Linked DNA regions of Drosophila melanogaster. The protein of the gene in region 2 purifies or fractionates together with the protein of the main gene of each other region. This does not show direct contact. Each region holds a gene or a part of one and is shown on either strand. Other genes may lie near its edges.

Region 1 (3,917 bases), on a different chromosome or scaffold from region 2:
AAACGAAAAAAACAAATTTTAAAGGGTGGGCAAACGTTAAAAATGAATTTTAAAGGATGGGCAAACGAAATTATTTAGTTTTAAAAGGTGGGCAATCGAAATTATTTATTTTTAAATGGTGGGAAAACGTTTTTTATTGAAAAGTTTTATTTTGAAGAGGTGGGCTAACGAAATTAGTTGTATTTCAAGTGTGGGCAATCGAAAAAAAATTTTTGTTAAAGGTTTTTTAAAGGGTGGGCAAACGATAAAAACTAATAATAATGGTTGGGCAAACGTTTTTTGTTGATAATATTTGGTTTTAAGAGATGGGCAAACGATTTACTCTCTGATTAGACCGAGGTAAACTTAAAAGCCTTATATTTTCTAAAGTATAAATTTTTTCAAAATTCTAAAGGGTGGGCAAACGTGGGCAAACGATGTTATTGCGATTTAAAAAAAAAAAATTTGAAAAAAGCGAAATTTTTGATTTTCGAAAATTTTCGAACTTTTTCGAAAATTCATATCTCAAAAACTGGACGTGGGCAAAAAAAACTAATTGGTGGGCAAACATGGGCAAAAAATGGGCAAACGATTCCAGCTTTCAAATTTCAAAAATTCGATTTTTCCGACCCCAGCTTCTTTGAGCTGGTAATGGACACCTTAATGATTCTGATCAAGCTAAACTACGAATTTGTTTTGATTTTTAGCTATAGGTATACATTCATACTCCTCAAACAAGCAGAACTATGTATTTGTTGCTTATAGGAACCCCCTGTTTTATCAATGAAATACGACTTCTTATCTGAAGATATAGCCCCTCTAAATCCAGGAAAAACTCACCCATAGCTCGGTGCCCCAACTCATGTTGTTGGAGTTTTGCGCTGAGTTTTCCGATTCGGCCAGTTTGTTGTTGCTGCTGCTTCTGCTCGATCCGCTTGCCACTGTATTTGTTGTTGCCGTCGTTGTTGTTGTTGTTTTAATAATAATAATCCACAGAAGATAATGTAATCCACAGACGATGAGGAGAGAGGGAGAAAGGTAGAAAGCGAGGGAGAAGAGCAAAAGATGAGAACTTTTATTCGTTTTTGTTTTATATTTTCCCGCAAAGGTTAATTAATTTTATGGCTGCTTTTTCGTTTTCATTTTCCGTTTGTTTTTCTATATTTTTTTCAGCGTTGCGCGGCGCGATGTTTAATTTTCTATGAAAGAGAGCAATTCGAGTCAGATATATTTCATTTTTGTTTTTTTTTTTTTCGGTGGTTGGGCAGGTAAGAAAGCATGTAAAAACAAAAAAGAGTGGCAATGCAGACGTGTCAGTTGCAGCGGCAGGTAGAAAAATGAAGTTGAAGGAAATTATAGATAATGAGAATTTAAACACTTTTTTTGGGAGTTGTTTAGTGATAAGTGCAAAATAAGAAAATTCTATGCACTGGCATTTCGATGCGCAAAGAGAGTGAGGAGAGAGAGGGAGCGATAGAGATAGAGAGCGATGCAACTGCATTTCATAATTGAGAAAAGCAGAAAGAGAGGACAATTGGAATTCTACTATTGTTGTATTTACATAATTTCGCACACACACGCACACAAGTAAACGCAATTGCCGAATGCACGCACTCTGCTTCTAGATCTGCCACCGTTTTTTTTTTTGTTATTTGTGCTAACTTTTTTTTTAGCATTTGCTTTGCAGTTGCAACTTCTTTCGATTTTGGGTTTTATTTAGCGCCTGCACTTTCGCATGCGTCATAATTCGGGCGACATTTGCACACACACACAAGCACACAGTTAAAACACCCGCACTCACACAACGCAAGCATTTGTTTCTCCTTTTTGGCGTGCGAAAAAACAATTTTATCCGCTCGCAACTTTCCGCTCGTTTTTTCACTTCGGCATCAATACACAGTGTGACCGCAATGTGTTTGAATAGGCACACCTCTGCGTTTGCAGTGTGACCAGAGACCGATGGCGACCTAATTTCTAACTCTTTAACATCTAGCGGGGATATGAACCCATATTGAGAGCAACTGTAAAGTTTAATTATTATTATATAAAATATATGAAACTTTCGTTAATACGTGCCCCCATTTTTTTTTATAATTTAACGTTAATTGTAGACTTTTTAAATATATTATTGTGGCCTTGAAAACTAATAATTTTATGGAATAACATAACGTTGAAACAGATGAAGAAAGCTATTATTGAGCTTGGAAGAAACTTCTTATTATTGTTTATTGCTTTTAAAGTAACAAGAGCATCGCTTATTGTTGTATATAATATATTAATTTGAACATTAAATTCACTGGAGCAATAGATTTTGGCACACTGTAAGGTGTAAGCATGTGCGCCAGGCGCTAGATCATTTTTAGTACTTTCCTTGCATCAGCTGTTAACACTATCAGCTGGTGGGTCAACAATTACATTAGATTTACTAACTTTTTAATGAATTAAAACTTGAGAGAAACAACGTTAATATAAGAAATTAAATTCCTTACCAGCTCATACAATTCACCGGTCACAATGCCTTCTTACGAACTAGCACTGGTGCTCCGCCAATTGCCTCGCGTGAGTAGCACATGAAATCCACCGGCAGTTACATAAAAGTAAATAAGAATTGTACACCGCCCGCAGCCCGAACTGATTTCCGTGATTAGGCGAACGGCCGAGTCCATCCTGGACAAGGGCGGCATTATCCGGAAGCTGGAGAACCTGGGATCCCGCGCCCTGCCCCACAAAGTCAGCGAACACGGGGTGGTTCACCGGGAAGGCACCCACTTCACCATCGCCTTTGATACGGCGCCCACTAAGATCGCAGACTTGAAGGAGGAGTTTGGCCGCGACATCGACATCATACGGCGCTACATCTTCAAGGTGGAGGAGCCCGAGCAGAAGCCCTGCACGCTGCACGAGGAGATGCTGCCACCCGCGTATCGCAAGGATGTGCAGGAGATCATTGCGGCCGCCCAGAAGAAGCAAAAGAAGAAGTTCAACTACAACTCCGGCCTGGACTACTATCCCTTCCAAAAATAAAACACCAAATAAAACGCGTTAATTATGTATGCTAAAACCGGTTGTGGGTTCCTCGATCTTTGGCTAATTCAAACTGAAGCATTCCTTATGAAATGCGCCTGTTATCTTAGTACTTTTCACAATGTTTGTCTTTGTTTGGTTTATGGCGCCCAATCGGACGCTTATCAATTAATTGATAAAGCTCCGTATAATCGACCATCAATAGAACGTAAATTGTCCAGGTAGTGCCTCAAGAATCGTCGAGCAGTTCACTAGTACTTCCTCCTGACCGCAAACGACCTAGAAATGTCACCGCAAATCCGTCCACTTACGCCAGAGCTGCAAAAAGTTGCCAAGGAGCAGCTCAAGGAGGATCCCGAACGTCTCGAAGCCGATCTGCAGGCGTTTAAGACATGGATCGAGCAGCAGCCGCATCTAAATCCCCGAATGGATGATCAGTTTCTGGTGGCTTTCTTGCGCGGCTGCAAGTACAGTTTGGAGCGGGCCAAGTCCAAGTTAGATAAGTACTACACGCTGAAGACCAAGTATCCGGACTATTTCCGAGTTACCAACACCACGGATAGCAAGTTCCGGGAGATTCATCAAACGGGGTAAGGATTTTGACGCCAGCTAACTAATTTAATTTATCAATGCAATTCTGTCAATTCAGTGCCATCATCTACCTGCCCACTCCGCTGAATGAAAATGGACCTCGCATCGGGATCTGGCGCATGGGATTGGTGCCAGTGGAGAAGTACACAATGCTGGAGTGCATGCAAGTGGCCCAGGCAATGCAGGAGATTGCCATTTTGGAGGACGACTACGCCAATGTCAATGGAGTAGTTTTCATTATGGACATGAAGGGTGCCACCGCCGCACACTTGTTCCAGATGACGCCGTCGATGGCCAAGAAATTCACTGTCTTCTCGGAGGAG
Region 2 (3,917 bases):
CTCGGTTTCCGAAACATTTGCAAATAAACAGACGTAAAGTTCGCCAAACATTTGAATAGAAAAGTCTGACAATGCTCTAGGCTTTATAGCCCTTTCAAAAATAATGTTTGCATCGTTTGGCGATCGATTTCCGCAGCTTGACCCAATTATGATTTCCCGAGCATTCGAATGGAGCTTCCACTTAACCCACGGACACACGTTCACTGTGGCTGCGATAGTTGCATGTGTAAGCGTTCGTGTCTAATCAGGAACGTGGGGAACTAAAAAAAAAAAGGGGGGGGGGGCTCTCCAGATCCCTGGCCGTTACACAACCACCGAGATGCTCTTGAATCGCTGCAACTGCGGCAGAACTGGCAATTGCAATTGACGCACACGCATCTGCGAATATGTGGAATGCAGAGTGCCTGAAAGGGGGAAACAGCGAATGGAAATAATACAGGCAAATAAAAATAACACTCGGAATGAGTAATGCGACCTAGGGGGAGCGCCCACCAAATAATAATAAATGAACAGCGAAGAAGAGATCATGACGATACGATGATGTATGAATTTGGCCCAGACTTTTACTTTTACTAGCCACAGCTAGCCAAGCAGCTAGCATAATTATCGCCGTTTACCGGGCTTTGTTATGCCACTTCGCGCGCGATGTGTAACAAATTTAAATGAAATGCATAGTGAATCGGGCAGTGAATTGTATGGAAGCAGGGCAATAAAAACGGGCGCCAATGGGGGCGGGCTAACTTGGCTGGCAAAACAAAAAGGTGTATAAATAGACAATGCCGAAACCGCAAATAATAACCAATACCAATACTGCGGGCGAACGGGCTGCGAAAGAAAGCGGCGAAAAAGTCATAATAAAAATTATAATAATGATTAAAAAACGCCGTCGATGTGGATGTCGATGTTGATGTTGCCGTTTGCAGTTGAGAAATGTAAATGCCACAAGGCCAAGCGACAAGGCGAGGCCGCCAATACACACAGACAAACCGAAGCCCGTGACACAGTCATCCACTGTAGTGTGTTCTCCAAGCCCCCTGCGAACCCGTACTCGTGTTCGTGTGCCATTGTGCATGTCTGGCGGCGATTATCGGATTTGGAGCGAACGACAACCACTGTGCGCCTTATCAGCAGCGACAACATGACACCCACCAGGGCCGTAGGCATGGCTGATTGCCGCTGCAAGGAGGGGCTCTCAGCTGGGAACTATTTTCAGATTGTAAGAAACATCATATGGATGTTTAAGCTAACATGCTAACAAACTATGATAAGCTAGGTACCTAAAGCAATATCAATATAATCACTTGATGAAGAACAAATTCTGTAACTTCCCCCTCTGGCGAATGACCGCCTACGCAACTGCCTGCCTCACTGGAAATCCCGGTTGCCCGATTACTAACCGCAATTGGCGAGGACCTTCTGCAGCGGCATGTCCTTGGGCAGCTCCTTGGCGGACTCGTCCAGAGCCTGGGCAATCTTGTAGTGACTGTTCTTCTTGGTCCGCTTGTCCTGCTCCTCGCTGCTCCCGCTTCCACTTCCGCCTCCGCCGCTCAGCGCCGGCAGCTTGCGGACGATCTTCTCGATGGTGTCCCGGTATCTGTCCACCTGCCGCTCGATCGCCTCCAGCTCCGAGTCCTTGCTGTCCGACTTGCTCGATCTGCGAATGCGAAAAGGACCATTTTGACACGGGTTTAGCACGGGTTAGGTCATCATCGGCAGTCCACTATTGTTACGGCTGTCATCGCGCTTTGTTATTGATGCAGTTGCTCTGTGGCTGCTTCTCTGCTGCTTTTGTTGTTGTTGCTGCTGCTGCTGTTGCTTCTTTCGTGATGAGGCAACACACACCTGTCTGTCCACCTGGAGCGCACTTACACAAACACACACCCACAGACATCCGACCGACAGACTGGCTGGCCTTTGAACTTACCTTGACAGATTTTCGGCTGCTATTTTGATTTTGGCAAACTGCCTCTTCATCTTGGCTGATTCGCTGGTGCCGCTCGCGTCTCCAACTTGAACTGAACTGCTGTGTGTTTGTTTGCGATGTGCAATTAGCTGGGCATTGAGTAAATACTTAAAACAGGCAAATTAGTCATTCTTCAACGATGTTTTACGGAAAAGTGAGGCGGGTGTGACCGCAGCGGGAGCGCTGGGAAATGACAAAAGGCTGGAGAGCGCCTTTTTCGAAAGTTCGTATTTGGTAACACTGTTTGATAAATGCCTGTTGAGATTTCTCAGAGCTTAGGCTAGAATTATGAATTTAAGCAATGGTTAATTAATGTTTATTAAATTTCAATCTCCTTTAATCTGAAACCATTGCTTAAATTCGCTGAATAGGGGAATACCCCTTACTACTTGTAGCGGTACCAGACATTTGCGCTAGGGTAACCACTGTCGAAAACACCCGAATTCTGTGGGGTCACACTGAACTCGACCGCCTTGCTTAGCTGCACGTGTGCGTGCGTAAATAATAGTTTTATTGTTATTTTACTCTCGAAAATGACCCAGGCGGAGATCGTGAAATGTCTGCGGGAGGAGTATGAAATCGAACACAACAAGGATCAGAAGCCGGAGAAGGAGGACCTGCCCGCCATCACCAAAAAGTTCTATCAGCGAGTCTTGGAACTGCTGACCATTCACAAAGTGCCCTACTCCAAACAAGAAGGTGAAACCATTAATGAAAAGCCTTAAATCTTTAACTTTATCGTATTTCCTACAGATGAGGAGACCTACGAAGAGTACCTGCTGTCGGACACGGAGGAATCGGGAAACAAGAAAAAGAAACAACAGGGAAAACTGAAAAACCAAGACTCCGACGACGAGGATGTAGAGGCACGCATTGCCTCCATCAAGAACAAGCTGCGCCAGAAAAAGGGACCCACAACGGAGCGACAGCAGAAGCGACGCGAATCTAAAAAGCTTAAACGCAGCAAGGGCGTCCAGAAACTGCTCCTCTCCTCGGCCAAAAACCTCAAAAACGAGAACGTCAAGCACCAGAAACTGAAGAATGGCGTGGTGAAATCAGAACAGGAGACGGAGGACAGCAAGGAACAGATCCAGCCGGTCAAGGTGCAACCGGTTTACAACCAGGAGGCCAAGATCGTCTACTCCAAGGTGGACTTTGCCGCCAATCCTGGAGGCAAAGCCAAGAAGTCTCACCAAAACCCCAAGGAGATTCTGAAGAAGCTGCGCGACACCAAGAAGCACCTAACCGAACTGCGCGAACAGGGCGAAACGGACAAGGCGGCGGAGATCCAGACGGACATCGCCTGGCGCAACGCATTCGACAAGGTCGAGGGCAAGAAGGTCAAGGACGACACCAAGCTGCTGCAAAAGGCCATCAAGAAGCGGCGCGTGGAGAAGAAGAAGTCCAAGACCAAGTGGACTGAACGCAAGCAGAAGGTGGAGCACGACAAGGAAAAGAGGCAAAAGAAGCGACAGGAGAACCTGGAGAAGCGCAGCAAGGACAAGAAGAACCGGAAACTAAAGACGGCCAGCAAGAGGGGTCGCATCATACCCGGCTATTAACTATGCTTACTATAGCCCTTAAGTGTAAAGTAGTGTAAATGTATGCCACGTTGAAATTCAACTCAGAATGCTTTAGAAAAAAAGTGATCTTTCTGAAATTTACGTTTTTATACTTTCGTGTTAGAAATTTACTTTTCCGGCCTCGACACAGTCAAAATTCCAGTAGACAGCTAAATTCCCAGTTCCAAGCCACACTATTTGGCTCCTCGTTTTTGTCCACTTTGTGTCACTTTGTGTTCCACTGTGCGTTGCGCGGCTTCACCAAAGATTGGCAAGAAGAAGAACGGCGAACAGCTGAGACCGATAACAACAATCGATTGATATCGTAATCGTTTAGTTGGATTGCTGCGATTTTTCCAGATTTTCCGAGTACTTACAAGAGACAAAAAGTG

The links.
Region 1: the proteins of RhoGAP92B (region 2) and Cip4 purify together in Drosophila melanogaster (affinity purification with western blotting; one study listed by BioGRID). This does not show direct contact.

Annotation. Positions count from the first base shown.
Region 1 is NT_037436.4:4,362,208-4,366,124, forward strand, and holds the start of Cip4 (Cdc42-interacting protein 4), read right to left. Parts: upstream 1,768-3,917; 5' UTR 1,656-1,767; coding exon 1,541-1,655; intron 921-1,540; coding exon 820-920; intron 1-819. Other genes in the region: mRpS6 (mitochondrial ribosomal protein S6), read left to right, coding at 2,494-2,538, 2,605-3,003; CG33514 (uncharacterized protein), read left to right, coding at 3,289-3,593, 3,653-3,917.
Region 2 is NT_033777.3:19,903,368-19,907,284, reverse strand, and holds the start of RhoGAP92B (Rho GTPase activating protein at 92B), read right to left. Parts: upstream 2,122-3,917; 5' UTR 1,975-2,121; coding exon 1,925-1,974; intron 1,837-1,924; exon of another isoform or gene 1,655-1,836; coding exon 1,398-1,654; intron 1-1,397. Other genes in the region: Surf6 (surfeit 6), read left to right, coding at 2,497-2,662, 2,717-3,525. UniProt on the Drosophila melanogaster protein: GTPase activator for the Rho-type GTPases by converting them to an inactive GDP-bound state.